Linked DNA regions of Struthio camelus. The protein of the gene in region 4 interacts with the protein of the main gene of each other region in a pairwise test. Links are inferred from orthologs where the notes say so. Each region holds a gene or a part of one and is shown on either strand. Other genes may lie near its edges.

Region 1 (7,155 bases), on a different chromosome or scaffold from region 4:
GAAGGTCATCTGCAATAGATCCCATGCCTGAGGCAAGACTTTTAGCAATCAGCTCAACTCTCACCCTCCCACTCAACCAAAGCACAGCTTGTCTCCCCATCCCTGTTAGTCTTGTTTAAAAAAGTGACTTGAAGGAAAGGAACTGATACACATAGCACGCAGTTCAGTTTTTCAGAGTTACTTTCCTGGATTATGTTGCTGTGAATAAACACATCCCACGCCCGCACACAAGCAGAAAGAAGGAAAAAGAAAGAATCTCAACCTCTAACATTATTTAGACAAAGCTATTCCCTGGACCAAAAAGAAGACTGTGTTATTTAGCAGCAATCTAAAGTCCTCTAAGGTCTGATCCCTGCTCTGCCATTGATTCGGGGTACCATATTCTGCAAAGCGTTTTAATCTTATTTTACCAATAGGGAAACTGGGGTGAGGGGGAAGGAAGAAAAGCCTCACGGCACTTTAAAGACTAATTATTTGTATTGTATCTTAAAACAAGTAAGATACTACATAGGTCCTAGATATCTCTAAGTGTACTATCACTAACATGAAAACAAATTTAATTGTATTGATTTGCTTAGAAATGGGAGCATCATACAAAATTAGTGTGGGGGGGTACACACAGACATGCATGCAAAACTCTTGACTTCTCTCTGAAAAAGGTTCCTGAACTTCACAAAGCCCTCACAGTGCATATGGCAGTGACCCAAAGCCATGGTGTGCTGTTCATTTATCACTCACATGCTTACTTTTCACTATTTGCTCTGCCCCCTCTTCAGTCTCAACTAAGCATCCAAACCTCCTCAGTCTTTACATACACACAACTAGATGTAAAAGCTGGGATTCAGAAGCATGGACCACGGTTCTTGAACTCCACACTGTTATAAAGAGTGCTTATATATTGCAACAAAAGGTTTACAAAAGCAGCAGTGAGCACCACCACACTCTTATGGTCAAAAGCCCTGCAAGGAACTATACTTGCTGGGTGACATCGCTTACGCAGTGAAGTCAATGAGATATTGCTACTGACATGAGGTGTTAAGTAACATGGAACAATCCTGGCCCAGGAGTGTCACAAAGATACACTACTACGGGACACTACTGCCATTACAGAGATGTACCCTGGCAAACATTTTAAACACAATGGATCAAAAATGCTAATATTGCATCCACAGAGGTCTTTCACCTAAAACAAGAGGTACCAAACACGGAGAGGTCAAGACTAGGGGCAGCAAGGGGTTAAAGCATTCTAAAATAAGGAATCTAAGAGATTAGCTGATCTGATAAAGACTTTTAAGCATTTCCACTGAAAAATAATGAAAAAGGGAATGAGAGCAAGAAATCGTAGCCTACACACCTAGACCGTCTGCCATACAGGAGCCATACCATGTGAGGCTCTGCACTGAAGCCACACAGCCTTTGAGAATCCCTCAAAGTCTGACTGCAGACAATATGTTTAAGTCTGTCTTTCAGGATACCAGTTTTTCCCTAAAGAAATATGAACAAAATACATTGTGCAAGGGAGAGGAAGAGGGAGGAAAACGCTTCTCAAAGCAAGCGTTCAAGCCTAGGCTCTCCCTGCTGGCAGGGAAACGGCTAACCACGCCTGACCGCCTGTCCTCAGATCACCCCGCCGGGTGCCGCGGCTGCAGCGGCCGTTATGTGCCGGGGCACAGCGGGGGAGCTGGCAGGCACTCGGGCAGGGACCGGCAGCAGGCGGACGGGAGATCCCCCACAGCCCTGCAGTGCTCCGGCCTGGATCCTTTCCCCTTCCCCCCTTTATCCCTAGCTAGGAAGCGAATAAAGGCAGGCAGGAGGAGGCGAGGGGAAGCTCTCCTCGGCGGCCCCGCTTCCCCCACGCCAAACGGCCGAGCAAGCGCCACCCTCGGGAAGGGGCGGCGGGGCGCCCCCGCGGCGGCCGCCCGCTCCTCATGTCACTCGGGGGCGGCCGGCCGGCCGGCTCGCAGCGGCGCCGCTCACGGGGCGGGCACGGCGGCAAGGGGCCAGCCCCCGCCATGCCTCCCCCCCGCCTCCGCACGGCCGCCGCCCGCCCGCCCCGGCAGGTGAGCCGGGGAAACATCGGCCTCCCGGCCCGCGCCTCTGCCGGGGCTCCCCCGGGCACGTAACGGTCCCAGCCGACCCCCACGCCGAGCAGAAAACGGTCCCAACGGACCCCGCCCCCACCCCGAGCAGGTAATGATCCCAACGGACTCTCACCCCCGAGCAAGAAACGGTCCCAAAGGGACCCCGACCCCCGCCCCCACGCCGAGCAGGAAACGGTCCCAACGGACCCCCGCCTCCGAGCAAGAAACGGTCCCAACGGACCCCGACTGCCGCCCCCACTCTGAGCAGGTAACGGTCCCAACGGATGCCGACTCCCACCACCCCGAGCAGGTAACGGCCCCAACGGACCCCCATCCCCAGCAGCCAGCGGTCCCAACGGACGCCAGCCTCCCACCCGAGCACATAACGGTCCCAATGGACCGCCGCCCCCCCGCCCCGGGCAGGTAACGGCCACAAGGGACCCCCCCCACCCCCTCTAATCGCTCCCCGAGCGGGTAACGCTCCTACCGGAGCGGTCCCCGGGGGCGGCGGGCGCCTCGCGGCGCGCGCGGCGCTGCCCTGCCCTGCCCTGCCCGCCGCCCATCGCCGCGGCGCCGGAGCGCACGTGCCCGGCCTCGCCCCGCGCTGCCCTCGGCGCGGCGGGCGCCGGCCCCTCCCGCCGCCCGTGCGGAGGCTCTGCGGTGCCGCCCGCGCAGCCCGGAGGTGCGGTGCTTACCGCGGGCGCATCTCCCATCTCCGAGCAGGGCGAGCCGTGCATGGTGCGGCTCCCGCAGACGGCAGCGATGTGACCAGGCTGCCGGCGGCGGCAACAGCAGAAGCAGCAGCCGGCACCGCCTCCGCCTCCTCCCCTTCCCCCGCCCGCCCGCGGGGCCGGCAGCCGAGCAGCCCGCGCGCCGCGGGAACCGCTCCGAAATACTCCATGCAGCAGACAGCGCGGGCGGCGAGCGGGGGGGAGGGGAGGAGGGGGGGCCGTTCCCCACCAATCACAGCCCGGCCCGGCCCGCGCCCGGCCAATGAGCGGCGCCGACCGGCGTGATCGCAGCGTGCCGCGGGGCTGCCAGCAGGAAGGGCGGCGCGTGGGCTCGTTCCGCGGCGGCCCAGCCGGCGGCGGGCGGGAAAGGCGGGAGGCGGGCGGAGGGGGGGCGCGGCGCGGCGCGGCGCGCGCTGGAAACTAGGGGAAAGGTCGGCGCGGGGGGCGGGGCGGCGGCCGGCCGGGGAATGCCGTGCGGGGGCGCGGCGCGGCGGGGGCTGGGGCTGGGGCGGGGTGTGCCGCGCCGCCGTGCCGTGGCCGCCGTGCCGCGTCGCTCGGCACGCGGGCTCCGCCGGGCCGGCAGTGCCCAGCGGACCGGGCCGGGCCGGGCCCGGCGGCGGCCGCCTGCCCTCGCGGACGCGGGCAGCCGCGCGGCCCCGCCCCGAGCCCGGCCGAGCACGTCCGCGCCGCGGGGGAGGCGGGAAAACGCCTCAGGGAGCCGCGCTGCGCTGCGGCCCCCGGGGCCGGGGCAGCGACCGCAGAGGGAGAAGGCGAACGCGCACTTCGTCCGGGACAGGGCGCAGAGGCCATCTTGAAAAAACAAACCAAAAAAGCTGGGATGCAGTTTAGAAGGGATAATAAACTAGGGCAGGCTGTGCTGTCTCCCGTACTTTTTTTGGAAACATCCTTTTCTCTGAGATTTGTACATTCCTTTAATTCTTTTTCGTTAAAGAAATTGCTGGCTGCAGCGTGGAGCTTAGAAATGGGGCCTCCTGCCTGACTATGTAGATCCAGATCAGCAAACTGGATCAGTGAAAAGATCCAGGATTAAAAATAACCCTACCCCCTCAAAAAGGGGTCATTAATATATATATTTTTTTCTTTGAGTGGCAGGTTCAGGAAGGGAAACTAGCCCACCAAGAAAGCACCCTGCCAGTTTAATGTCCTGTGCCCGGGCCCTGTGGGTCGGACAGGCACCGCAGCTAGCAGCAGGGAGAGCGCGAGGCCTTGTGGCAGGGTCGCGTGGTCAGTTTAAACCGTCCACCATGATGCCACACGCTGGAGGTCAGCAGCGCCTGGCAGTGGGTTTCCAGGAGGGCTCGATGCCTGTGCAGGGCAATAGGCGCTCTATTCCTGTCACCCCACTGAGGGCAGCTGTGTCCTCTGCCAGTCAGTGGGGCAGTGGTGGGGAGCAGCGGGGTCTGAGTGATGCTCTCGTCTCATCCTGTGCTCGGCGATGCAAAACTGCTCTCCTCCGTGGAGATGACCCAATGGACTGGGACCTCCTGTCGGTCTCCTGGACAGTCTGGCCCAGCTGGACTTTCACAATACAGAGAGATGAAAGTTTCACTGTAGTGGGCACTGGGGACTTGCGTGACATCTGTTTCCGTTCCTTTTGCTTCCCGCATCTCCTGCGTTCCCCTGGCCTTGTTTGAGGAGCAGGGCATGCCTGCCGGGATTCCCCCCGCTTAGCGCCCCTCTCTGGCACCTTGACCTACCGCTCTGAATTCACCTGAACTCGTCTGGGTTTGTGTCGTTCCCTTCCTGGCCTAACAGGAACAGCCTTTAATTCTGGGCCAGTGTCCCTACGCAAGGGGTCCCTGCAAGAGGTCCTTGCCACGATCATGTCATGGTGCTATTGCCAATGATACACATTTTAACAAATCTTCAAATTGCAATGGCTCAAGAGCTTACAAGATTAGAAGAAATGTATATGCTTTCTTTTTTTACTTTCTCATCCCTAACTCCTTCCTCCCTTTTTTAATGGAAGCTGAAACTCATCAGTCACCAGGTGACAGCAAGATGTGGGGTTTTAATGAAAACCCTAAATCCTCTGCAAGGCTTCTGCAGAAATTGCAAGGGCTGATAAGTTTGCCGACAGTTTAGGCTATCTCACCTGAGCTCCTGTCCCCGACAGTACTGGCCATCAAAGAGGGAAACTCGATCTTCTCGTGACTGAAATTCGTGCTGGGCTGATGTCTCCTGTAATGTGCAGAGGGTTGGAAAGAGTGATCAAGCTCGGAGGAGGAGGGGGATGCAAGGTAAAGCCCTTCAGCAAGCTCTCACTGTCAGGAAGGTGTCTCCAGACTTGTCTCTGAAGAAACAGTGGGGCACATGCTCCAGTTTCTCACTTTCTTAAGTGATTATATTTCATTTGTAGGTGTTGAGGCCAGGCCAGCAGCCCTCGAGCTAAAAGGTTACAGAAGTGGGAAAATAAAACTGAGAAATGCCACTCTAGGGAAAGATATTTGCAGTGCACAGGCTAAAAACATCTCCAATTCAAAGGGTAGCTGTCTGCTTGGCAGAGCTGCTTCAAATTCCAGCTAACTGCCTCTTTCAAACATTTCTTCAAAGGTGTCCTGAAATAATTTATAAGGTGCCACTGCAAGCCTGCAGAGCCTGCAAACTGAGTCCTGGCATAGGGAGCTGCAATGGAAGCATCCTAAACTGGAGCCCAGAGGCACAGCAACAAGCTGTGGTATGTCATCGAGGATCAAGGGCGCACGGTCCGAGTTTTAGACAACTGTTTATGATGCTAACCTTTTCCCAGTCTGGCTGCCCTTGGATGCTTTGCTGCCAACTCAAACAAAACATTCGCAATAATAAACATTTTTCTTGCTGAATTATCTCTACTTTTTCCTTCCTCAGTTTCTCAAGGCTTGTAACATCCTCCTCATCAGTGTGGAGGACTCAGGGGGCTCATCCTAAATCTTCTGTCTCCTTTCCCCATTATCTTTATTTGACCCCTGGGCTCACTTTTTCCTTCACTGCTCTTCCAAACCCAGATTCTTCCCCCCATCCACATAATTTCTAAAACTCCACTCCGAGCTCATCTCTGGCCTTCACTATTGTAAATTCATGGACTGTCGCTTCCCCGGTGTCAGTATTACTACTTTCCAGTCCCATCAAAAAACAAATTAAAATGATCTCCCTGGCTCATCTGTCAGTGTGTTCCACTTGTTTCTTTGCATCTCTGCCCCATGCCTCCCATATTTGATCTAATCTCTTTTTCCCAGTGCCAGGCCTCCTGTTACCATCTCCCTTGAGGAGGAACGCTGTGATTGTGCTGCAAGGACTACAGCAGCTTGTGGATCTACAAACCTTTCACCCCAGAAGGTCATACTGAGTTTGCCACATGCAGTTTTTCCTGTCTGGAGCTTGTAACGAGCAATCAAGGCATTGGCCAAATGGCTTTCTATACCTAAAGTACTTTTTCGTCCTAACAGCAGTAACTAGCTCTAACATGAAAGACAAAAATGAACAGGAGGTTAAAATAAGAAAGGATCTGTCCTGTTTACCCCTTTTGCAATGGGCACAGGAAGCCAAACTTCCTTCAGACATGTCTCATTGGATGTGAGTTTCTTCTTTCTGAACAATTTCTCAACCATGACCTCATCAATTGAGCAGAAAGGTGTCTGACCCCTTCCTTAGGAAGCTGTTTTGTCACGATCTCCTGGGCTTTATGTTTTCTGCATTTATACGCTGGGCCACCCTCTCTTTGGTAGGTGCCTCGGGCCTGGCGCTGGAAGATGAGTGGCCTCCTTAGGTGCTTTGTTCTCTAACTTGGTGCTTTTGCTCCCCGGAAGAAGTCATTTACAATGACTGGGAGAGGGAAAGAGCTGTATCTAAGCAAATAGTGTCAGTATTTTGACGTCATCTCTGCACCAGCTGAGATGCTCGTGCCCAGCTCCTGAACAGAAACCTATAGCACTGAGCTAGGCACTTTAGTTCCCCAGGCATTAGCAGGACACGAGTAAGGTGGTTAGACAATGCTGAGTGACCACGTCCTGGCACAGCAAAGGACACAAAATTCAAGGGCCCTCAACAGCCAAAGGCGTCCTGCCTCTGCAGCTGAGTGGTCATGGTCTTCAGCAGGCAAAGGGCAGACTTGCCATGCTGGTCCTGCTGCCAGGACTGCATATGAATTTTCCTTTAAACAGTCACTGAATGAAGCTCACAGTCAGTTAAAGGAGCAGGGGGCAGGCTAACAGGCCCATCAGTCCTACCCATGAAATGCATTTGCACAGGCTACTCCAGTTGTCTGAAAGATGATCCAATCTCATTTCCCCAGCCAGGATCCACAAAGTGACCCAATTCTAACTGCTAGTAGTTGGCACTGACAT
Region 2 (7,353 bases), on a different chromosome or scaffold from region 4:
TATTTATTTATTTTAATTTCCAGAGGACTCTGCTCTCACCTAGCAAGCACACAAGGGCTTGGGGAAGGGATGCCTTCAAGCAGGCCTAGCTCTGCCTCTCTGCCTGCGCCAGGGATTTGCAGCAGGGACCTGCAGCAAAGTTCCCCAAAAGCCAGGGCCTAAAAAAAGGGGGTGCCCAACCTCAGCCCCCCCCCCTCCAGGCACCCGGGGCTGCTCCCCTTCCCTGCGCTGCCAGGGAAAACCACAACCCCCTGCACCGGGGGGAGGAAACAGCTTATTTCTAAAATCCCCCCACTGCTGCCAATTTGCATACTTCCTCCAAAGGCCAAGAGCGATGAATTACTGTTATTAGCACCATTACTACCATTATTACCATTATTGTTATTATTATTATTATTTAACAGCCTTTTCATTGCCTCTAAAAAATTACCTACGCCCTCTTGGCTTTCATGGGTAAACGAACCGACCTGACCACGCCACGACAGCGAAATACAAATAATAATAAACACCAGGAAAGTTCAAAGAAGGGAGACGAGGTTAAAACAGGCAATTTCATATTGGATGGAAAGAACAAAATAAAGAGGCATGAATGGAAGCTAATCCCAATCTGCAGCGCTGCTCTTGTCTGAAAACCAGATTTTTTTTTTTTTTTCGCCCCCAATACAGGGTTGGGAGGGTCTGAGATTTAAAGTCACTGGCCGCCTCGTGATGTCATAAAATCTGGAGTACAGAGTTATCTTTATGTTTGTTTAAACTTAACTTAGAGCAGTAACTCGTGCACATGGGATTCATTATATATCGTCCCAGGATTTTATTATTATTATTATTATTACTATTATTTTGGGCGAGTTTGGGAAGGGGGGAAAATGTGAGGATAAAATAAGTCACCAGACATGAAAGTAAAACTAATTCACACTGACTGGTTTATTGAACACTGGGACTTTCACATACACACTAAAACTCTTTATTGCAAGTTTACAATGATCATGTAAAATCAGTCCAAAAACACAAATAACCACGACAAAAAAAACTAGCTACTGACTTTTTTTAAAACCTTCTGCTTTTTTTTTTTAATATGCCGCTCTTTCTTTCTCTCTCTCTCTACCTTTTCTCTTTTCAATTTTCCAGCAAAGACTCGTCCACCCTTGTACGCTGTCTCGTATTTGGTTTTGTTCTTTTTCTTAAAATCGTGATTTTTTAAGCTTTTTCCACATTTCTACAAAAGAACTTCATAGCTCCTTCGACCATTGTGCATTTGTAATGCAGAGGGGGAAAAAAATACCTACATTCGCTTTTTGTCTCTGGTGCCAATATTATCAGCATTTCTTCATTAAATTCGTCGAACAGAACATTCACCTCTTCCTCCCCCCCCCACCCTGCCCTCCCGCCCTCCTCCCCCCCCCTTTTAAAAAATAAATAAAACCCTGAAATGGCGTAAAAAAACCTGCAGGTACAGACACCTGGCCTCATGCTATCTGACATGCATCTAAAGCCTGCGGTCTTACGGAGACCCATTGTTTTTTATACGCACAGGAAATAATAATAATAACAATAATAATAATAATAATAATAATAATAAAACTACGAGAGAAGGGAAGACACCTCCCCCCCCCCAAAAAAAAAAAGACAAAAGAACCAAAATATATATATATATATATATTAGATTCTATAAATAATCCAGAGTCATTTGTGTGCGGGTGTGCGGGTGTTTATAACCTGGTGATATCCTCTGTGCGCGGGTCCTGCGCGGCGGCGGAGGGCAGCTCCTCGCCCGCGGCCGTGCTCGCCGGGGCGGCGGGGGCGGCCGCGCTGGCCGCCGCCGACCGCACTTTGGTGTTGGGCAGCCTGTGGTCTTTTTTCCATTTCATGCGCCTGTTCTGAAACCAGATTTTGATCTGCCTCTCCGAGAGACACAGCGAGTGGGCTATCTCGATGCGCCGTCGCCGGGTCAGGTACCTGTTATAATGAAACTCCTTTTCCAATTCCAAAACCTGCTGCCTCGTGTAAGCTGTCCGGGAGCGCTTGGGTTCGCCTCCATTGTAATTGGGATTCACTGGGAGAAGGAAAAAAAAAAATAAAAGGAGGGGGGGAAAAAACAAAACAAAACAGCAAAATTAGCATGAATAGAAGAGAGAGGGAGCGAGAGACACGAGAGAGAGGCAACTGGAGCAGCTGAGAGGGAAAAGTATTAGGCTAAATAGGTAATAAAGAACTTTGGGCAGCTCAAGAGTTTCTATTCTAATAGGAAGGGGTTTCCCTGGCTCAAAAGACTGAATTATTTATGCACCCCTTACAAAGCTTTCGGAGTTTCACACATACATAACAGAACGAGCCACATGGCTAAGGCTGCCCACAGTAGCTCGGCTATAAAATTTATGGTGGGTGTAATTACCCATTCGGAGTCGTAAATCCAGTTCAATTGTGCTAACCCAAAGACTCTCATGGAAGGGAAGGAAATAAAAAAAAAAAAGAGAGAGAGAGAGAGCATGGGGTGAAGGAAAAAAAAAAAATCAGCGAGCAGCGCGACGGAGAGGAAAATAAAAGTTGCATACCAGTACTGACGTGGATTTTTTTCATCCAGGGATACACTATGGGTTGTTTGGAAGCTGTGCTGTTAGGATGCTCGGGGTTTGGCTGGCCGCAGGCTGGAGGGGCTGGGGAAGGAGTGGAGGAAGAGGTGGAAAGAGCAGCCTGCTCGCAGAGCTGCTGTGCTTTCTCTGAGAGGTGTTGGCCTCCTGGAGTTTGCCCGTGTCCCCTTTGGTGCGCGGCCGGGTTGCCGGGAGCTTGGATACTAGCACAGCTGTACTGGCGGTCGGGGAAGGAGGGTCGTGGCACTGGGTACAGCTCTTGATGGTGATGCTGATAGCTGGACTCCCTTGTCCGGCTATAATATTCCGGACTGTGGTCTGGGATGTAATTATTTTGCGAATATTCCTCGCATGGAGGAAATTTCGGATCGATGTAGTTAGAGTCCATCAAATAAGAGCTCATGATCATTAATTTCTGGAGTGGAAAATAATTTTTCTCGCTTTGTCGTTTTTCTGCTCCATAAAGCCCTCCTACTAGCTGGCGACCCCGTAAAGTTAGTTTCACCATGTGACTCCCCCGGCCAATCACACCCGCCAGCCCAGTCCCCGGATAAGGAACCAAAAGGTTTTGCAAAAATGTACCCAAATTGTGCGGCCGTGAGTGTGAGTGTGAGTGCGGCCGCGAGTCGGGGCGCCGCGGCCCCGCCGCGGGCTCGGGGCATCCCCCTCGGGGTGTCCCCCCCCCACCACCCGCCCCCCTCACCCCGGGTTTGGGCTCAGCTGGGAACAATGAGGGACACCCCACCTCCATCCCCCCCCCCCGATGTGAGTGTGAGTGGGGGGGGGGGCGCGGGGCGAGCAGCGCCGGGCATCCCCCGTGTGTCCCCCCCCCCACCGCCCCTACAGCGAGGGGCTGAGCTGGGGACATGGAGGGACACACACACCTATACACACAAACACACTCACACCCCCCCCCCCCGGTGTGAGTGTGAGTGTGAGTGCGAGCGGGCCGCGGCCGCCCGCCCTGCGGAGCCCGCAGCCCCTTCACCCCCTTCTGCAGCAGCACCCCCCCACCCCCGGCTGTGCGTGTGTTTGGTGGGGGGGTGGGAAATTTGGGGAAGGGAGGGACACAAGGCAGGTTGGTGGCACTGCCAGGACTTGTGCCCACTCCCCTCCACCCCCCCCAAAAAAAAGCCCACCCCTCCCAAAAAAAAAAACGGAGGGGAGGGGGTTAAACACTGTCTGCATCTCTCGGTGCGGGCGGGGCGGGGGGGGAAGTTACCTGCGGAGGAGAGAGGCGTTATCTACCGGGCTCTAAATCCTCGCAGAGTTACCGGGGGGGGGGGAGATCCCCCCCACCCCGGCTCGCCAGCAGCTCCCGTGGGGGCTGCCCGGCCAGGCGATGCTCTCCCGACTTTCCCACGCTCTCGGGGGGGGGGGGGGCAGCAGGCACCCCCTCTATCCATCTCCCAGCACCTCCCCAAACTGCTGCTGTCTCCCCCCCCCCCTTCTCCTTTCCTGGGCTAAGGAGTTGGGGGGGGGTTGCGTTTGCGGAGGTGCCACCCACCCACACGCACAAGGGCGCGCACCGGCGGGCAGCCCAGGCCAGCCTGCCCTTGGGCTGGGCATTCAACCTGCTTTTTGCTGAGGCCGATTTTCTTTCTTTCTTTTTTTTTTTCCCCCTCTTTTTTCCTTTTTCCCCTTTTTGTGTTTTTTTTTTTTTTTCCTTTTGGGCGGAGGCGAAAGGGGCAAGGTGGAGGGATGCTCTGCCCAGCTGAAAATGGCTCCCCGCGCCCGGGGGAGGGATGCGCCCTGCGCAGCTTGGGAGGCTGCAAATGGATGGCAACATTTTGGGGAGTTGCGCGGAGCTCCTTCAATTAGGGCTTTTATCTATCGCTAGCACTAAAGAGAGGGGCCGAGGAGGGAGGTGGGGTATTCCCTTCTTGGGCTTGATAACAATTATAGTCGAAAATCATAGCTTGCAGGGCATTGCCATATTTTACTTGATAACAATAAAAGTGACACATAAAGTTAACTGTTTATGTTTTATTTATTAGACTAAATGTGCCAGCGGTGTCGAAGGCTTTTGGCTGGTTGTTACAGCTTTTTATGGGGTTGTAAAACGCCATAAATCAGTCACTGCGAAATGGTCGGGGCTCTTTGTGCTCTTGGCTGAGAGTTGTGTTTGCGGTAGCTGCTGTTTCTTCTGGAGATGAAAAGTAATAATGGGATTTTATTTTGATTATTATCACTCCCCCCCCCCCCAATCATCACGGTTATTTCACTCTACCTTTTAACAAGCCAGCTCCGGCGCTGCCCTGGCAAACGGCAAACGCCGCTCCGCACTTGAATAACTACCTTTTAAAATGACATAACCCGGCTTTGCGAATTTAATTAGGACGGCTGCAATTAAAGGCATCAAAGGCAAGCAGAACTTTACAAGGCTCTGGCATCGTCCATATATTCCCCTAGAGACGAATTTGTGACTTTGCGACGCTCACACAAATTCGAGTCTACAGGGTACATATAGGCGACGGGAGGGCTGGGGCAAGGGCTGCTGAGCAGGGCAAGGGGCTGCCAAAAAACCACGCTGCCCGGCCGAAGGAGGACGCAGAGGCCACTGATTGACCACGTTGCTTTAGCTGGCCACAGGCTCGGGAGGCTTGGCATATTTATGGTGGAATCCCCTCCGAAAGCAAAGAGCCAGCCCCATATATATACATATGCATGTGTGTGTGTGTGCGTTTTATATATGTATATATATGTGTATCTATATATATGTTGGCACTCAGACAGGGAATAACTCGTTTGCTCTCTTGGTTGTTACTTAGCAGTTCCTGTTTTTATTGGCATCTGATTCGCAGGGCTTGACTAATTGCTTCCCCCCGTGCCCTGACAAAGCTGATGCCTTCCTAAAGTTATATATCGAGGACTTTAGGTATCTATATGTATATACATACATGGCAGGTAAAATTCCTGCTCGCTCCAGAATAGTTTCAGAGCTGGGGAGTGAAGGGGGATGGGAGCTCAGAGGTAAGGAAAAGACATGAATAGAAATGTATTCCGGAACCCAAAACATTGATTTAAATATATCCAATAAATTCCTTTTCCCCAGCTATACTTCATTCTGCCCAAACACCTCAGACTCATGCAGGGCTTTGACATTTATAGTTCAGACTGATGCAACAACTTTATTCCAAGGCTGAGGGAATATTGAATAAAGATGGAGAGTTAATAAAGTAATTTTTACCTACGCACACCCTCCCCCCCTTTAGAATATATGATTTTCAATAAGCCCCAGCAGAATAAATAAATATCCACAGGTAGTTCTCTTAAGAATAGGCTGGGTAGATGGGTTTAAAAACCAAAATAAAACGCAAAACAAAACAGCAGCAATCAAAAGCTTTTTAAAAAAAAAAAAAAACAAAAAGCAAGGCGTGAAGGTCACCCAGACGCATTCCTGCCCCTTGCAACCCCCAAACTGGAAGTCCCTAAACTCTTTGCTCTCCCTCCTCCGGATGAGCCAGGGGAAAACGCAACCTGATTTGCACCGTTTGCCCTTCTTCCACCCCCCTGGTCCAGACCCAAATAGGTATTTTGGAGGTCTCAGTGGGAGCCTCGCTTCTCTGTTGCTCTCCCTTGTCAGTCTGCATTCAGTCCCTGTGTGTGTGTATGTGTGTGTGTGTGTGTGGCTTGCCCCAAATTTCTTCCAAGTGCACAAAAATCCCATTTCTCCCCTCTCTTTGGGCTGGGGAAAAGCTTTCCCCCCCGCCCCCCCACCTCTTTTCCTCTCTTTTTAAACTGGATTTCAGAGCTGTGCCTTTTGCTGAAGTGTTTGGGCGATTTTTGTTTTTTTTTTTAAATTTATTTATCCCCCCCCTTTTGCTTTCCATAAAATAAGTCTGTAAGGACGTGTGAAGAATAGTTGTACAAGAATCTGACTCTTTTGTCTATAAAGCAGCCCTCCCACCGCTCTCCATCCCTCGTCCCCCCACCAGCACCACAATGTCGATAAACAGTTTGGGAGTGACAATGCCAAGAGAAATGCAGCACCTCGACGGAAAAAAAAAAAAAAATCATTTCTGGGCTTTATTTCCTTTTACTACCCAGGAACCAGGCTGCAAAAATATATATCTGGTTCCCATTGCAGGAACATTTTTAAGTACAAAGCGCCTTTCTGACAGTACTGAAGAAAAATAAGTATGCATTGTCTCTCCGGATTCATTGTGTTAGCTATTACCATACTGACCGTTTGGTAACCTGTACCTCAGCCCATTAGCAATCTGTGCTTTCTAGAAAAAAATGAAGTACCTATCTACTGGGGTTTTGTTATTCAGTGTTTAATAATAATAGTAAAACAACGGCAAAAAACCTCGCGTTGTATGAACTCTGCCTGCTCGAGACTCGGAAGGTGGAAATAAATTTTGGAGTGGAGTTTTATTCCGAGCTTTTAAGGGCTTGTTTGGAGGTGATTATGGCATTATGGCTACATGGGTAGTAGGGGGAGGAAAGGCGGATTTTTTTTTTTCAGGGAAAAAAAAAATAGTTGGGTTCTCTCTAACATATGCAACGACATGTAATTAATTAAATTTTAATTTTTTCTCACAACTTGAAAGCAGTAAGTGCAAAGAGACCTTTTCTTTTTGTTCCTTCATAATGCAAATAGACAGGTCTAATTTATGCAAAGAAATATGCAAATGTTTAATTGATTTTTTCTTAAATCTGTTGTCAGTTAAAGTAATGAATCGGCCTAAAACGATTTTAATAAGCAAAGCCTGTCACCCAAAGTCCTAGCCTTCACATTTTTCTTGTGAGCCTCTTTCGT
Region 3 (7,707 bases), on a different chromosome or scaffold from region 4:
ATGTTTCAACCCCTTCTCAAAGCATGGATGCAAGTTTTAGTTCCATTAATGTTAATGTGGTTATCCACCAGGCAAACAGTTTCAGGGCTGAACTACAAAAGGAAGTCAATCAGCCTGGCTACTGTAAGATAACCCTATAGGATATATTCTCCATAATTGCAAATACACTATTCCAAAATAATTACTTCGTTTCAGGAGCAAGCGTTCTACTGAGAGCTAAGGCACCTTAGCTGGTCTGGTATAACCAATGCCAGTAAAGCTCAGGCGGTCAACTCCCCTCTTCCTCCCATACAGGCAGACATTTAATTCCCCTAGTCGTGGGCATGCTATAATATAAGCAAGTATGGATGACAGATCAGTTCACACTAGGCATGAACATACCTAACCTTTCCCTGTTTAGAGCTCTGATGGATTCAGGCCAGCGCCTGAGAAAGCAGCAACAAAGCCAACAACGAAGACGAGGAGATGAGACAAGGACAAAATGAATGAGGAGTAGCAGGAAGAGTCTTGCTGGATGAGAAGGGAAAAAAGAAACCTACCATGTCTCCTCCCCCTCCTTCCCTAAACTGAAGGATGGTCAATTTTTAGTTACTTTCAAATAATTACTACTGTTAGCCAAAAGTGCTTAAGTTATCACGCTCCTTACACACAAGGTCTTCTGTGAGAAAGAATCACTGTCATCAAGTTAAACAGAAATTGAGATAAAGATTAGTTTACATTGTGAATGTCATCCTAAAGACACTGCTGCTAAGCCTGACCTGCATGAAACTGTCTCCACCCAAACAATGGCAGCAGAGGTGTGATTTATGCTTAAATACAAAACATGCTTTCAAAGGACTAAAATTCCAGCAACATCGATTGTAAAAGTATAGTCAAGTGATAATATCACAATATATCAGCAGAAGGAAGGAAAAGCAGTCTCAGGAGGAAAGAAAGTAATTTTACATATATTTAGGCTCTCCTGCTAGTGAATCCTAATTCGACTTCAACCCTAGTCTGGCTTCAGGGCCCCCTTCCTTTCTTATTACAGAAACTTAAAGGCTTAAGATTTGGGATTTCCTTCCTTTTCCGTTGTGACTTAAAAATCGAAGATGTCCCTAGTAATGGCATATAGATCCCCAAGACTGTAAGAAGCCCTCCAGGGAATAAGCGAGCGGCCTTTTCACCACCCAGACTCTCTCAAACTCGGGGGAAGCAAACTAACACTCCATTAGCCTGAGAGCCCCACGCTCTTTCCCGATGTAGATGGAGACGCCCAGCAGGTGATTCCTTGTGTACCTAGAACCATAAAAATATATATGTGTATGCGTGTGTGTGCGTGTATATATGAAACACAAAAAAAGGTGGTTTAAGCTAGAGCAGGGAGCAAAATCGGCGGGCCCAGGTCGCCGCAGAGAGGTCCATGGAGGGGGGGGCGGGGGAGCGGCCCCTGCGGTCTCCCCCTGGCCCTTAGCAGCCGGCGTAGGCCTCCATGTGCAGCGGCGCGCAGGCGGACGGGCCGCCGCTGCCCGGCGTGCGAGCTCCGCCTCGGGCGGAAGGGCTACGACCCGCCGTGGGGGGGGGGGAGCGGCACAAAAGGCAGCCGGCACCATTGTGCAGCCCCGAGCGCACCGGGCAGGGCGGCGGAGGGCAGGGGCCGGCAGGGAGGCAGATGGAAGGGGAGGGTGGGGGGGAAGGTGCCGGCGAGGAGGGGCGGATCGGCGGATCCCGGCGGCGCAGGGCCCGCCGCGGCCTTCCCCGCCGCCCCCCCCCGCCTCAGCCGGGTGGAGGGGGCGCGGCCGAGCCGGGCCGGGCCGGGCCGGGCCGCTCGGCCGCCTCACGCCGCGGGCCCCGCACACCGCCGGGGCCGCGCTAACCCTCCCCCCCCGCCGGCCGCGCCCGCATGACGGAGGAGAAAAAACCCCGCGGGCCTCCTGCCCGCCGCCGCCGCTGCCCGCCGAGCGCCGCCAGGCCCGGCCCGGCCCGGCCCCTCCTCTCGCACCCGCCTGCCCGCGGCGGAGGAGGCGGAGGCCGGGCCGGCCGGGCCCCACCGGGCCCCGCGCCTACCTCCACGTCGCGGCCCTTGTTCTTGAAGCTCTTGATGCGGTGGTTCTCCAGGCCGGCGGCGGCGGCGGCGTTCTCGGCCATGGCGGCGGCGGCGGCTCCCAGCTCCTGCGAGGCGGCTCCGGCGGCGGCAGCGGCTCGCGCGAGGGGAGGGGAGGGGAAGGGAGGGGGGCGGGGGAAGCGGGACGCTCCGTGACGAGCCCGAAGGGGAAGGAAAGCGGAGGGGGGGGGGGGGAAACGCGTGCGGGAGCGCGCGCGCGCGCGCGGCGTTGCCAAGTGACCGCGCACGTGACGCGCTCAGAGCGACGGGCGGGCTCCGCCAGTGGCGGCGCGGGCTCTTCTCTCGCCCCGCCCCCTTCCCTCTCTCCCTCGGCGTAACTGCCAGCGCCGTGCCCTCGGCTGGGGACTGCGCTGCCCAGCATGCACTGCGGCCCCGGCCCGCACGCGCCAAGAGACGCGGCCCGGCGGCGGCGGCGGCGGCCCGCGCGTTGCATTCCGGGAGTCGTAGTCTTCGCGGCGTGGTGCGGGCGGGAGCGCACCCTGCAGGGCGGGAGGAGCGGCCGCGGCCTGGGCCTGGGCCTGGGCCTGGGCCTGGGCCTGGGGGTTCAGCAGTAAATACGGGGAGACTCGGGGAGACGTTGAGGCTCCCAGCGCGGGGAGAGCCTGCCGGCATGGCGGCGGTGGAGATGCGCAGCCTCTCCGCGGTGGGAGAGGGCCCCGCTTACCCCAGGGCGGTCGCGGGCTCGGGCTGCACCCCAAATCTCCCGGCAAGGCCCTGCCACCCGGGCTGCCGCGCGCGAGCGAGCGGTGGCTCCGCTCCCCGAAGGCGCCACGCGGTTACCTGCCTCCTGTGGTTCGGTGCCTGGTTCGCAAACCCGGCTTTGGGTTGTTCTTCCAGCTGCGGTTATATCAGAGGTCACCTGCGGCGGCCTCTTCCGTCCTAAACCACAGCGCCAAAGTTGCCGTGTTTGGTCTGGGGAAAGCACTGCGAAACAAGCATTTGGCGAATCAGAGGTCTTGGGAAGCCCTCGATCTACTTTAGCTCACGTGCTGAGCCGTACCTGGAAATTAAATCCAATGTAATCCAGTGCTTTCCAGACACGTCGCTTGTACGAGGCATGCACAGCGCGGCTGTGCGTATCCTGGAGGTGTCACACTTGCTGTAACGTAGAATACAAACGGTCTAGGCCAGTCCGACCGATTGTCCCCGCATCATGAAAAATTGCTAGAAATCCCCAGCTCGATTATGCAACTGTGACAGTAGGCCTATGGATACACTGCAAATAGATTCAGGATTTCCAGATCTGCAAATGCCTGGGTACAGCAGGTTTCTGCATATGTTCAACCTACAATACCTTAAAATTGCACTCAGTATTTCCAGAGTGGAAAAGAGGACGCACTGAGGTGATGTAATTCTAGACACCGGTAACCAGTGATCAAACATCTTCTGTAAAGCCAGGTCTTACTCCTTTGGAAGAAAAGCGTCCAAGGAAACCAAAATCTAAAAATAATAAAACCCTGTAACATTCATATCTAGCTCACCTTATATCACATCAGGTCCTGCAATAGACCTTTGGAACCATATACAAGCTCTTCATAGACCCTCTCTTTCTCCTTCAGAGTCCCTTCCTTCAATCAACAGCTTGGCCTTTTAATTGCTTTCCCCCGTCCCCTCTTGCATCATTCAAATGACTTTAACTTGTAACTTCTAGTTCTAGCAAAATAAGGCTTGCAGCCTGTTGGAAACAAGCAAAATCTGGAAAACAACTGCTCTTCCTCACTGTCGTTCAGCTGTGTGCCAAATGTTCTCCTGTGAGGAATCACTCTAGCACTTGAGTCCCTCTTGGATCCAAGCAGCCTGGGCTCCAGATAAACATTTCTCCATGCATTTCCCCCGTTGCTTTGCCTGGGTGTGCTGTGCTGTTATTGCTAGCTGTGGCAGCGAAGAAGGAGCCCAGAGCATGCAAAGCGCAAACGCCACGACTAATGTGACCGTATTTATCAAGACTGCTAATGTCAGAGATGATAGCTTCTAGGTTCTAGCACTTTTTCTTTTGAAGGAAAATTGGACCCAGCTGTCCGGCTGTCTTCAAAAGAGTCACTAAAGCAGATTCAGTAGCTGAGAACTTTGTTTTACCAGCCAAGGAAGGTGGTGGCAGCTGCCAGCTGTGGCTTATGCAGAACCGCTAGGACATCAGCGCAATACCGCTTTGAACCCTGCCAGATGGGTGTTACAGCCATCCTGTGGAGGAGCCGCACACCATTACCACGAACAAAGGAGCTTTGTTCAAATCCATTCAGTGTGATATATGAGGTAGAACAGAAAACTTAATGAATAAAAAATAGAATGTCACCAATCTGAGACAACTCAATTTACATGAAGCTGTATCCATTGCGCTCAGTAAGATATATAGATACAGTGGTGGTCGTGTCTTTTCTTGTCTGTTTCTTCTTACCCATGATATAGGCTTTTCAGAGTTTCTGTAGCACATTTGATTGGTCTTGGTAGACACTTCATAACTGAATGCCTTTTAGACAGAGCTACATGGCAGTTTGATTAGTGTTACTGTCTGAATAAAGCTTCTTGGTGGAATTCTTGACTAGATAATTTAACTTGCATGCGCTCAGAGAGAACACATTTTGATGCAGTGCCCTGAATACTGCTTTTTGGCACTGTAATAGCCACTGCTAAAATATAAGGAGCAAATACTTCGCTACTTTGAAAACTGAATGAACTATGTAGTTCAGTGCGGCCATTCTTCCTCACCACATGAGCTTCATATTGACGTGTTCCTGTGGACAAGATCTGCAAGCCTCGACCCATCCCCGTCCCCACAGTGGCACCTGATACCTAGGGCTGGGGCTACCCCAGCTGCTCCCACTGCTGAAGTGAGTTGATCTGTGTTTGTTTCTGGAATGACCTGTTGACTTCAGCAGAAAAACATGACTAATAAGGTGATATTACCTTGTTTTGGGAACCACAGAGGAACAGCTCAGGAGCCTGCCTGCAGCTACAGCGTCGACACCCCTGAGGTCACTGGTCACTCGCTCATATGCGCTCAATGATTGTGTCAACACCTGCCAGTCGATACAGCTGCAAGAAAACCAGCATATAAGAGAACTGTAATGCTCCTGAGTAATACTCTTTCTAAAGCAGCTCCGTGTCGGGGGGCTATCAAGTATGCATTAATAAAAGGACCTGCAAGAAGGATCAGGCAGATTTAGATGCAGCGATTTAAGATGCTACCAAGTATCAGCTCTGTCTGGCTGGTGCATGTTACAGGGGGAGGCAGGGGGGCAAATAGGACATGTGCCATCTCCTCAGCCTCCCTGTTCACAACCATGAGGAGCTGAAGCTGAGACATGTGCGGTGAAGGAGGTGCAGGTGCCCTCTGCTGCAAGAGGAGTGGGGAAGCTAGTGAGATGCTGTTTTCTTAACCCACTGCAGCTGGACTGGCTGCAGACTATCTGTCAAAACCAGGGTCTATAAAAACACGTAACTTCCAGTTACAAAAAGATGCAAGGAACACTACTTTAAGTCAACCTAAGTCATTCATCAGTCTCACCTCTTGCTTGTCCTTCTCCAAATGGGAGGCCTACGTGTCTCTGGCTTGTATCATACTATCACAGGCAGAGCAGAGTGGGAGGAAGCTTTTCTGTACAAGATTTGCCACTGTTCACACAGTCTCTTACTCCCAACAGACGGTTAACTTTTGGGCCTAGCTTTCCCCATCTATTAGAGCAAGATTGGCAGATGCTTGTATAGCATGTATCCCCACATTACTTTTAGCTCTCTGGCAGCTGGCTGAACTGCGTCTCGTTGGGTGTTGCCCTCTGAAGAAAAGGGATGTCTCTTTCTGTAGGGATGAGTAACGCATAAGGTAAACTAAGGCAAAGTCACCTGCAAACAAAGCCTTTGGTACTCAGTTTGTCTTTACAACGTATCACTTCAGTAAGACTATTGCTGCATGTTGCTTACATTAGCTATACAGAAAGGCTACTTTGTGTCACAGAAGTCAAAAATTGTCTTCCTAGGAAAAGACTTATGTTCTTACCACACCGTAACTAGAGTTTAGTAATGAACGTGACAAGTAAATAAATAAATAAATAAATAGTAAATAAATCCTGGTAAAGACTCAAGCTTTGTCAAAGGCTGCTGTCCAATACCATGGCTGCTGGAAGGTAGTCTGCGCTCAAGGAGAGACAAGACAGGTCTACCAAGGAGAAACCCATGGAAAGTTGTTGTATAGAAAAAGCCACATCCAGGTCAGGAAATCTCTAATCTGAAAATAGTTGGAAGCTGGGAAAGTGTTGGGGGAACCATCATACTTATTCCTATCCTTATACTTTTCCCACGGTATCTGCTGGTGACTGTTGGCGACGCAAATGAGATGGTCTGACCTGGCATGGTCCTGTATTATTTGCAGACAAGGGACAGAAGCATTCAGGGACAAGGTGGCTTGTCTGCTACTATTTCCAGAAGCTGTATGATGTTTTTAGTGAAGGAGGAACTGTAAAACCTCTGGATATTCACAGCTCCCATGTTCAATCTAAGAGACTCTCTTTGTCCCCACTTTGACCAGGAGGAGGACTAGGGGAAGCTCTTCGCAGGTGAGAATTTCGCTTTCCTCCACCACTATTCTCACAAGCAACTCCAGAGTAAGTACAAGCCAGTTTCTCATCTTCTATTTGCTAGGATCAGGGAGCAGCAAGGACTGCTCTGTAAGGGAAGGCCAACTGGATCCAAGGGCAGGCATGGGGCAACAGCTTCAGAGACAAGGGCACAGTACCACAGTACTCCAACAAGAAGAGCAGAGCTGCTCTGGCGATGGTAACCAGGATCAGACAGGAGCTCACCAGGCACGTCACAGATCAAGCCAGTGGGTTAGGGCCCGGGTCTGGATCAGTGAGGTACACAGGCAGGAATGGGCATAGCTGCGATGTAGCTAAGGCAGAGAGCAAGGACAGCAAGCAGCTCCTGAGAGGAGGGGAGCAAGTCCCTGCTGAGGCTTCTCATGGCTTTGGCTCAAACAGCTCTTTGATCTGAGGCTGACCAGCTGCACCAACAAAGCCGGCTGTGACCCTGCACAGCCCAAGCCCTGGGAGGAAGGGATGTGCTCAGGGCTCCGGCACTCGCCTGGAGCTGAAGACTTCCCTTTCTCCTAACATCTCAGCTTCAGGCTGCTGCAGAACCACAGGGGTCACCGAGACTTATGCCAGGTCCTGGCCAGCTCTCCCAAATTTAAGGCATATAATGATGAGCAGCCAATGTGCCATCCTGCCCAGAGCTCTGATCAAAGCAACGCTCCTGAGACGCAGTTTGCAGAGCCATGGCTCCGTCCAGCCTCCTGGAGCTTGGTGGGCTGCTCAGGAGGCTGGGCCAGGCTGTGCTGTGCAGCGAGCAGCAAGAACCGATGGGCTCACAGGTTTTGCTGGTAGCAACAGCTCTGCTCCACGGCCTAGACCCTTCAGCGTGCATGGCCTGGGCACGCGCCAGCGACAACCCAGCTCCAGAGCCAAAAAGCACCAGACAGTTCCTGATGCAGGCTAAGCAGGGCCTGGAGGAGAGAGCAAAGGGATGCTGTTTATGGCAAAGTCCCTGAGGACCTGGGAGTGACTGTCTGCAGGATGGCTCTCTTCATTTATGCTTCTGAGTGGATAATT
Region 4 (7,786 bases):
TCTGCAGATTAAAACCTCTCAAAATAGAAAAAGCTCTTACCTCCCTGACAAAAGCTTGAATTCAATTACTATTTTAATAATAAAGCTAGGATATTCGTTTTATCAAGACCACAAAAGTCATTTATCTTACAAGAATAAAATGAAAAAAAAAAACTTCAAAACATTGGTGCAAACAATTATGTTTTACTGTACTCCAGTTTCTCTGTGATGTTATAACATTTCATAGCATCAGTCAAAGAGCCCTTAGCAGGACTCATTCACTAACCAGATACAGAATGCTCAGTTTTTACCAGCAATATTTTTCAAAGGTAGTTTTTGCCTATTCTAATAGGAAAGTGTTTTGTGTGGAGGTTTTGTTTGTTTGTTTTTAATCTTGTAGAGGTAATATTATGTTGTTAAAATTTAAGGTAGCTTATTTTGAAATAAGAAAAAGAGTAGAGATCAGCAGCGATCTTACTTTCATGGTAGCCAAAAGACATTGCTACTGCAATAGAGGGTATACATCCCAAGCATCTCTTTCACATGGATTTTCATTGAAATACTCCCTATTTAACAATAGGCTGTCCTCAAGTTTACATTCCCGCAAGCTCTTTCCATCCTCTTCGTGTTTGCATCTTTTTAATTGCAGCTTCTTAAGCACTTGAAAACATAAAATTTCAAGCCTGCACTTCCTAGACATCTTTTTAACTGCAATCCATTTTACTGTTTGAACTTAAAAACAAAAACAACAAAAAAACCTCTGCCCACTTACGTGTACCACATAGCAATACTGTCTAATAAATTCTGTAATAATGAGATTACTCTTCAACTGAAGGAATGTCAGCCTGTCATCTAGTTTAGGCAACAAGGCAACTCCAATCTAACAGACAGCGTTAAATGTCTATTTAACGAAACAATTGAAGAGTAAACTATTAGCACTTTGCCTATGACATTCACCAATTCATTTGTTCTCTCATTATCGACTGAGAGAGTGACACTCCTTTTTACAGCAGTACACGGATAAGAGATAGGAAGTTACCATACAGAACAACAAAAGATTTAAGTGCGACTTATACACAACCACAATTAAGACAATCATTTCTCCCAGGAAGGTAAGGAAAACGCATTGTCATTTTTCCTTTCAAGTCCATTACCACAAAACACAGACAGAAGTGTGAATTACATTCAAGATGTCACCTGGTATTTAACCAGAAGTTTGGGAAACTTCTTCAGCAAAGACTGCCACAAGGTCCTTTCACAGGCTTTGGTGAGGCTTAGTGCTATTACTGAATTTGTATAGTTCCTGGAGGCATGCAACACTATCAGCTTTCTGAAAATATGCAGTCTATTTTTAAACACAAAGCATAGTCAGCAAGAACAATTACAAACCTTGGTTTTTAATGGTTTGAGTATACCAGGCCTAAATTCAGAACCTCAAACCAGAAGCATTACATCCCCTCACTGAGCATCACATCCCCTCACTGAGCATCACAAATAATTAACAAGCCTTTCTTTAAGAACATGATCTATCTTACCGATAACTTTTTAGATAGATTTTTTTTCCCCACTCCATATAAGAAAGATTGGAAATAGATGTCCACCTACCATGTCACATGAAGTACTAGCACACACACAAAAAAAAAAAGCACCTCATAGAGCAATAAGTCCCTGCGAAACAGAAAGACATCTAAAAAGAACTGGCTCACAAAGGAGGGATGAGCCAACTTTTTCATCCGTTATGCCCTGAAAGTGTGAAAACGCACTGAGATTGTTTGAGACAACACTCTCCAAACAGTATGAACCATGATAATTTAGTTGGCAAACATATCAGAGTGTACTGTGGGAGCAGGTGGCTAAGAGCCCAGCTCCACTGCTTATCATCGTCTGCCAAAACACTCAAACTGCCAATTTAGAACTTACCTGCTCCTCAGCCCTTCTGCTTCTCCTCTTTCACTGATATCTGGAGCAAAAACAATAATGTGACTCACGTATTTATCTAGTAAAAATCTCAGTGCTTTTTCACCTGTTCAATAAAGTTTATTTTTAGAGAACGCTAATGTAGCGGGCAGCACTCTGGTACTGAACAGCTTCGTGCCTTTGTCCTCCAATAAAGCACTAGGATGGGACACCAGAACATCACACGGATGCAAAAAGATGCCTCTTCAATGTGTTTGCCCCTAATGTTTTCAGAAAGCAAAAGGACATCAGAAACGTTTAAATTAATTCTTCTTGGTAATCACCACAGCAAATCAGTCACAGGACAAGATTTCAAATGAAGTTTGTCATAAATAGACATTCACGTCAACTACCCCAAATGTATTCAGAGCTTAGACTTTAAGTCATGCTCATTTTCTGCTGTTTTTCAACAGTGTGTTAGCTGAAAATAACATTTTGCTTTCTAGAAGCAGCCCATGAAAGCGATACAGCATCGCTCTCTCTCTTGTCCACTGTCCGAACCCCTGTATGGTCAAATGCATTTACCCAGAAAGTTACCGCTACTTTTAAAATTCACAAACAAAAAACTAGCGCCAGGCAGCGCTCCTAGCCACGTCCACAAGTACAGCCTCCCGCAAGGAGAGGAAAGCGCCCCGAGGGTAACTCCTCCGGGGCAGCGCCCGGCTACCAGCTGTCGCTCAGACCGTCAGCAGCTCCCGAGCGGCAGCAGCCCAGGGAGGAGGAGAAGGAGGTTGGGGAAGACATAAGATAAGACTTCTCCTTCCCCAGGGGAGAATGTCACCGAAATGTTTCAGGAGCCTGCGGGGCGCGGGTAAGAGAAGGGGAAGGGAGCCCTCCCCGTGCCCGGTCACTCACGGTCTCTGGAGCGGCTCCTCGGGGATAGCAGCCGGCCCTTGCTGCTGCTGGAAGGAGCGCAGCGACTCGAAGGCTTTCATCAGCTTCTCCATGGTGGCCATGTCCAGTCCGCTCCGCTCCGCCCGCGCCGGTCGCGGCACCGGCCCGACGCGCCTCTCCGCCCTCTCGCAGGCGCCCGCCTTCCTCCTCGCGGGCCCGGCTCTGCCCCGCCTTCCCCCGCGGCTCGCCCGGCGCGCTCAAGCCAGCCGAGGCGCCGCCGCCGCAGGCCGCGCCGGTGGCGGTCGCTGCGCCGAGCCGCCCGTCACGGCCGCAATGAATGAGGGAGACGCCGCAGGGGGCCGCGAGCACTCCCCTGCTGCCCCGCCGCCATCTTCAATCCGTCCCGTCATCCCCCACGCCGCTGCCCCGCCCCCTCCCTGCGCTGCTCCGCCCGCTCCGCGGCCCGGTTCCAACCACGGGCAACGCCGCGCCCAGCGCGCATGCGCAACCTCCCCCCTCCCAGCCGAGCCCTGAGTCACGTGCACACCCCTAACGTAGGTACATGCACACCCAGGCACGCGGGCGAGCTGAGGGGCGGGGCAACAGGGAGAGCGACAACCTCGCTGACCAATCAAAAAGAAGATAACTCCGCCGCTTCCCAAAGGTCACAGCAGAGCGGCTGAGGCAGACGCCAGCAAGTGGCGCGGACCAACGGCGATCACGCGCCCCCGCCGGCCCCGCCCCTCGTCGAGCGCGGCCGGCGCCGCGCCCCCTGCTGGGGGAGGGGCGGCTGCCCCCGCGCTGAGGTACCGGCCCCCGCCCCGCTGCAAGTGGGCGCATGGCGGCTGTGCCCCTTACCCCTCCGGCAAGCCTGCCCAACGGTAGCAGCTTTTCCGTTTTTATTTTAGCCTGCTCCGGGCCTGAGGTGTCTGTGGAGAAGAGGAAACGGTTACGGGAGCAAGATATTTAATCCTTACCAACCTACGGCTTCCAGCACTCCTCTCAGGCTTCCTGCTTTGCCCCTTCTGAGGACGTTTTGATACATTTTATACGCACTGAAGTGGTGAGAGAGCCGCTCCTGTTCTGAAGTTAAAACAACGTGCCTGCAAAGGGGGAAAAAAATAAATCGCAAAAAAAAAAAAAAAACCCGCGGTGTTCCCTATGTCCATCTCTGTGATGGAGCAGAATTTGAACTTCGGCCCACGGGCACAAGTTTCCTACCCCTATACAACTCATATTCTAGCCTTGATGTAAACGCTGGAAAAGCCATAAACAGCCTTACAGAGAACAAGTGATATGGTTGTTGCCAATTAGTCCATAAAACATTTCTCTGACACTTCTATTAGTGTGTTAATAAGATTGACTTTGAGGAACGTTTCAAAGGGTATCTCTACAGTACTGAAAGCAATCTGAACTATAACAAAGCCCCAATTTCATTATAAATGTGTGACAAAACATATGTACGCTTTCAAATTGAGAACTTTTAAACTTGCAGAGTTTTCTCCAGAACATATGGATGATCATTAATTTTTTATTCAGCAAACGATACATGAAAAAAAAAAAAAAGACGAGTGGAAGGCTGCATTCACTACCCCATAATTGCATGTACCACTCCAAACTTTGAAATAAGTTTAAGCATGTTTAAAAAGAGCATAAGCTCTTATCAAAGACTGAACAAGCCACCTATGAAGTCAGGCTTTGCACAATTGCTTTGAAGCTTTAGATTAAAACATGCACCAGTCCCCTAAGGGCTGCTGACTCACGGGCAGATATGCTAAGGCAACACACGCCTCTAAAGCAGCACTACTCTTTGCTCTTGTCTTCCCAGACTGTCTTGGCGTTTGTTACACACGAGTTGGGATAACTGGAAGAAAAGCACCCAGGGATATCTTGGCTTGGGCTTTTTCTTTGGCAAGTGTGATAGTAATAGGTTCTCCCAATTCAAATTGACAGATACAGGCAAAAACATGGATCACGTCACTGGTCACAAAACAGATGGGGCTAAAAAAATAAAGGCACGTAAAACTGGCAAGGGGCAGAAACAAGCAAGCTGGGTTAGAGAGCGGCAAGTTTTGTAAGCCATCATTACCATGAAGAAAAAAAAAAAAAAAAAATCACATTCTCAATGGAGTAACAACCAACACACAAAGTGTTAACTTAGTAAATGATGATAAACCTGTCTCCACCTCCAGAAGGAAAACAGAAGAAACAACGCTTTTACCCTACCTAAAAGGAAGACCATCTAGGTCACGAATGTGGAAAGGCTTCCCAAGCATAGGCTTGCGAAATACTTTTAACTACTGAAGGCTACTTCTTCAGCGCGTTCAAGAACAGGTTAGACGAGCACGTCAAGAATATTTTTGGCCTCATCTCAGTACAAATGCTTCTCCTAAAGTCAGTCTTGACTCTGCATTTCTACATTTCTGTTGCTCCACAAACACAAGCAGGTACTTGGCACTACTAGGATAAATCGTCCAATAGACTTCATGAGACTATACAACTCATGTAGTTGGAACATATGCTCAGGTATTTTGCTATATGCCATAGCAGAGTTATACTACCATTAAAGTCACTTAAACACATGCTGTTTTGTATAGCAATTGAGTGCTTATTTCTTCAATTCAAAAGTTACAAAATCACAGGGAAAGCCATTGCATAAAAACAACAAGGTTTCGAAAATTTAGATATACAAGCAGCTTATTGTTGAAAAGCATTCAAAAAAAAGTCTGACTAGTGACTCGCCATAAATTCTCTCAAGGAGCGATGTCTAGGTTCTTTCCTTTCATTATGGACAATTCAGTATCTGCAAGACTAATCACAAGCACAGCTACTCCTGATCAGTCTTGCACTCACATTCATAACGTTAGCACAATAAATATATTAACAAAAATAGACAATCACCATAATTCTCCATTTCCACACCAATATGTATGCAAAAACTAGAAATCGGACTAATAATTCAGGTATCAACTGAGCAAATACAACAGAGCTAGGGTACTCTCTGCTGGATCTGACAGTCTTACATTGGTAAAGAAATTACAACATATAATACACATTTTCTATTTCAACAAATTGTGAGTTAAAAAAATATATATACATATATATAATTTTTCCATTATCTACCTCAGTTGCCAAGAGAGACATGGTGAATAAATCACATTAGACAATAATACATGTGATTTAGACATGCGGCAGTGTTTTGCTTTTATTTCGGAACAACAAACGCTAGAACCTCCAGGAAAACAGCTCATACAAGAACAATTCAGTGGTTTGGAAATACTGGAACCAACGTATCACATTTAGCCATCAAAATAGTTATACTTGGAAAGAACTCTGGTGTTCTGGACACATGTAGAACATGTGAGAAATTACCTGTGTCACATGCAAAACTTAAATTAAGTTACACCATATGGACAATTACAAAAAAAAAAAAAAAACACACATACATACATACAGAAGAGACATCATTACCACCAAACACAGGTCATTCAAAAAACAAAAACCTAGAAAACCACCAAAAAGCACATAAATTTATCTTGAAGATGTTCTCCATTAAAGTTTTAAATTAATTCCAACTTGTGAGTACTTAGAGAGAAGTATTTTCTGGAAGTCAACATGAGAATAGAGGTGATAAATTATTATAATACTAAATTGTAAACAATAGTGAAATACTACTACTTCTGTTGACTTATTTTCAGTAACTTGTAAACAATATTTTGGAATTTATAAACGACAGTGAGAAATACCTTCCATCTATATTATTTGAAAAATAATTGAAGAGTATTCTAAAAATTCATTTTTGCCTTCAGATCTATTGTTTTAAAAACGATTTTAAAAAGATATAGCATTTTTTATTAAAGATTAAGGTTTGACAATAGCTATCTCCTTGTTTCTGAGATACCACAGGTTTTCCTATTTCTATTGTACAGTAATTATTTTTAAGTGCTCTTTTTTTTTTTTTTTTTTTAAATAGGGGCTGTTTTGATGTTGTTATAATACAAAAACATGATGCCATCTTTATTATGAACACTACCTCTGCAAAACTTACGTTTTTATAGAAAGAAAGCAACCCTGAGGCATGAAGATTTAATTCTATTGGTCAGTCACAACATTCAAAAATAAACTGATACTGTTATATTGTTTCACAGTTTCTGAATTTTGAGCTAAATATATATATTCATGAGGTATGAATAAGCAAACGCTAAGACTTACACACAAAAATACTTGGAAACAAACCACAGACAAGAATGATCGATCTCATACAAGTAACTCCATAGGAATTCCATAAATTTTACCCTATTTTGTACCAGGAGAACAAAGCAGTCAGGCTGTTGGATTGTCACATTGCTTTGCAGATTTAATGTATTTATTCCCTGTCCATGTACTAGAGTTAGTAAATTGCACAAGGAGTTAGGTCATACTCACTGCATGGAGACAAAAGGGACAAATTTAAAGTGGAAAAATGCCAGCTGAAACCTACTTGGAAAAAAAAAAAAAAACCACACACAGGATTTAGGTCCTAATCCTGCAAATATATAGTTACTCAAAAAAAAAGTCCAGAACATTAGGAACAACTTGAGGACTGAACCTAAATAAAGCTTCATTAAAAAGCAAAACAACTTTTGTGCATGGTCCAAATTTCTTGTTAAAAGAAGCAGAGGAAAAAGTAATTTAAGGAGCAACCTCTTAGGAGCAACTGCCCTTTTCTCATCATCTAGTCCATTTTCTTCACATGACCTGGAGACACAGTGTTAAACTTCAACACTCCAAAATGGGAGCGGGAGGGTAGGGGTGTGTGTTAATTTGATCTTTTTTGTTAAAATCCCTCCTCCCTCCAATATGGAAAGAACATTTTGAAAAATATGGTAAATGTAAATTCAGATTTCCTTTACTTGTCAATAATTCCTATACTTTCTTCATAAAAATTACTCAGCTTGTGCCCATGGTATTCTTCAATTTCAAGTTGCTCTAAGCAGGCATTAAAGCCAGGCTGCCAGGTCATATGCCTAGTGTTAAT

The links.
Region 1: the proteins of HTT (region 4) and KLF11 interact in binary tests that used the Homo sapiens proteins (3 or more experiments, as listed by UniProt). The link is inferred for Struthio camelus from reciprocal best matches to the Homo sapiens genes HTT and KLF11.
Region 2: the proteins of HTT (region 4) and HOXC4 interact in binary tests that used the Homo sapiens proteins (3 or more experiments, as listed by UniProt). The link is inferred for Struthio camelus from reciprocal best matches to the Homo sapiens genes HTT and HOXC4.
Region 3: the proteins of HTT (region 4) and KPNA3 interact in binary tests that used the Homo sapiens proteins (3 or more experiments, as listed by UniProt). The link is inferred for Struthio camelus from reciprocal best matches to the Homo sapiens genes HTT and KPNA3.

The regions. Positions count from the first base shown.
Region 1 is NC_090944.1:24,675,932-24,683,086, forward strand, and holds the start of KLF11 (Krueppel-like factor 11), read right to left. Parts: upstream 3,003-7,155; 5' UTR 2,819-3,002; coding exon 2,777-2,818; intron 2,350-2,776; exon of another isoform or gene 2,277-2,349; intron 2,191-2,276; exon of another isoform or gene 2,045-2,190; intron 1-2,044. UniProt on the Homo sapiens protein: Transcription factor. Activates the epsilon- and gamma-globin gene promoters and, to a much lower degree, the beta-globin gene and represses promoters containing SP1-like binding inhibiting cell growth.
Region 2 is NC_090969.1:3,002,232-3,009,584, forward strand, and holds the start of HOXC4 (homeobox protein Hox-C4), read right to left. Parts: upstream 3,015-7,353; 5' UTR 2,998-3,014; coding exon 2,553-2,997; intron 2,054-2,552; coding exon 1,717-2,053; intron 1-1,716. UniProt on the Homo sapiens protein: Sequence-specific transcription factor which is part of a developmental regulatory system that provides cells with specific positional identities on the anterior-posterior axis.
Region 3 is NC_090942.1:192,846,282-192,853,988, forward strand, and holds the start of KPNA3 (importin subunit alpha-4), read right to left. Parts: upstream 3,019-7,707; 5' UTR 2,128-3,018; coding exon 2,047-2,127; intron 1-2,046. UniProt on the Homo sapiens protein: Functions in nuclear protein import as an adapter protein for nuclear receptor KPNB1. Binds specifically and directly to substrates containing either a simple or bipartite NLS motif.
Region 4 is NC_090945.1:76,792,771-76,800,556, forward strand, and holds the start of HTT (huntingtin), read right to left. Parts: upstream 3,020-7,786; 5' UTR 2,892-3,019; coding exon 2,791-2,891; intron 1-2,790.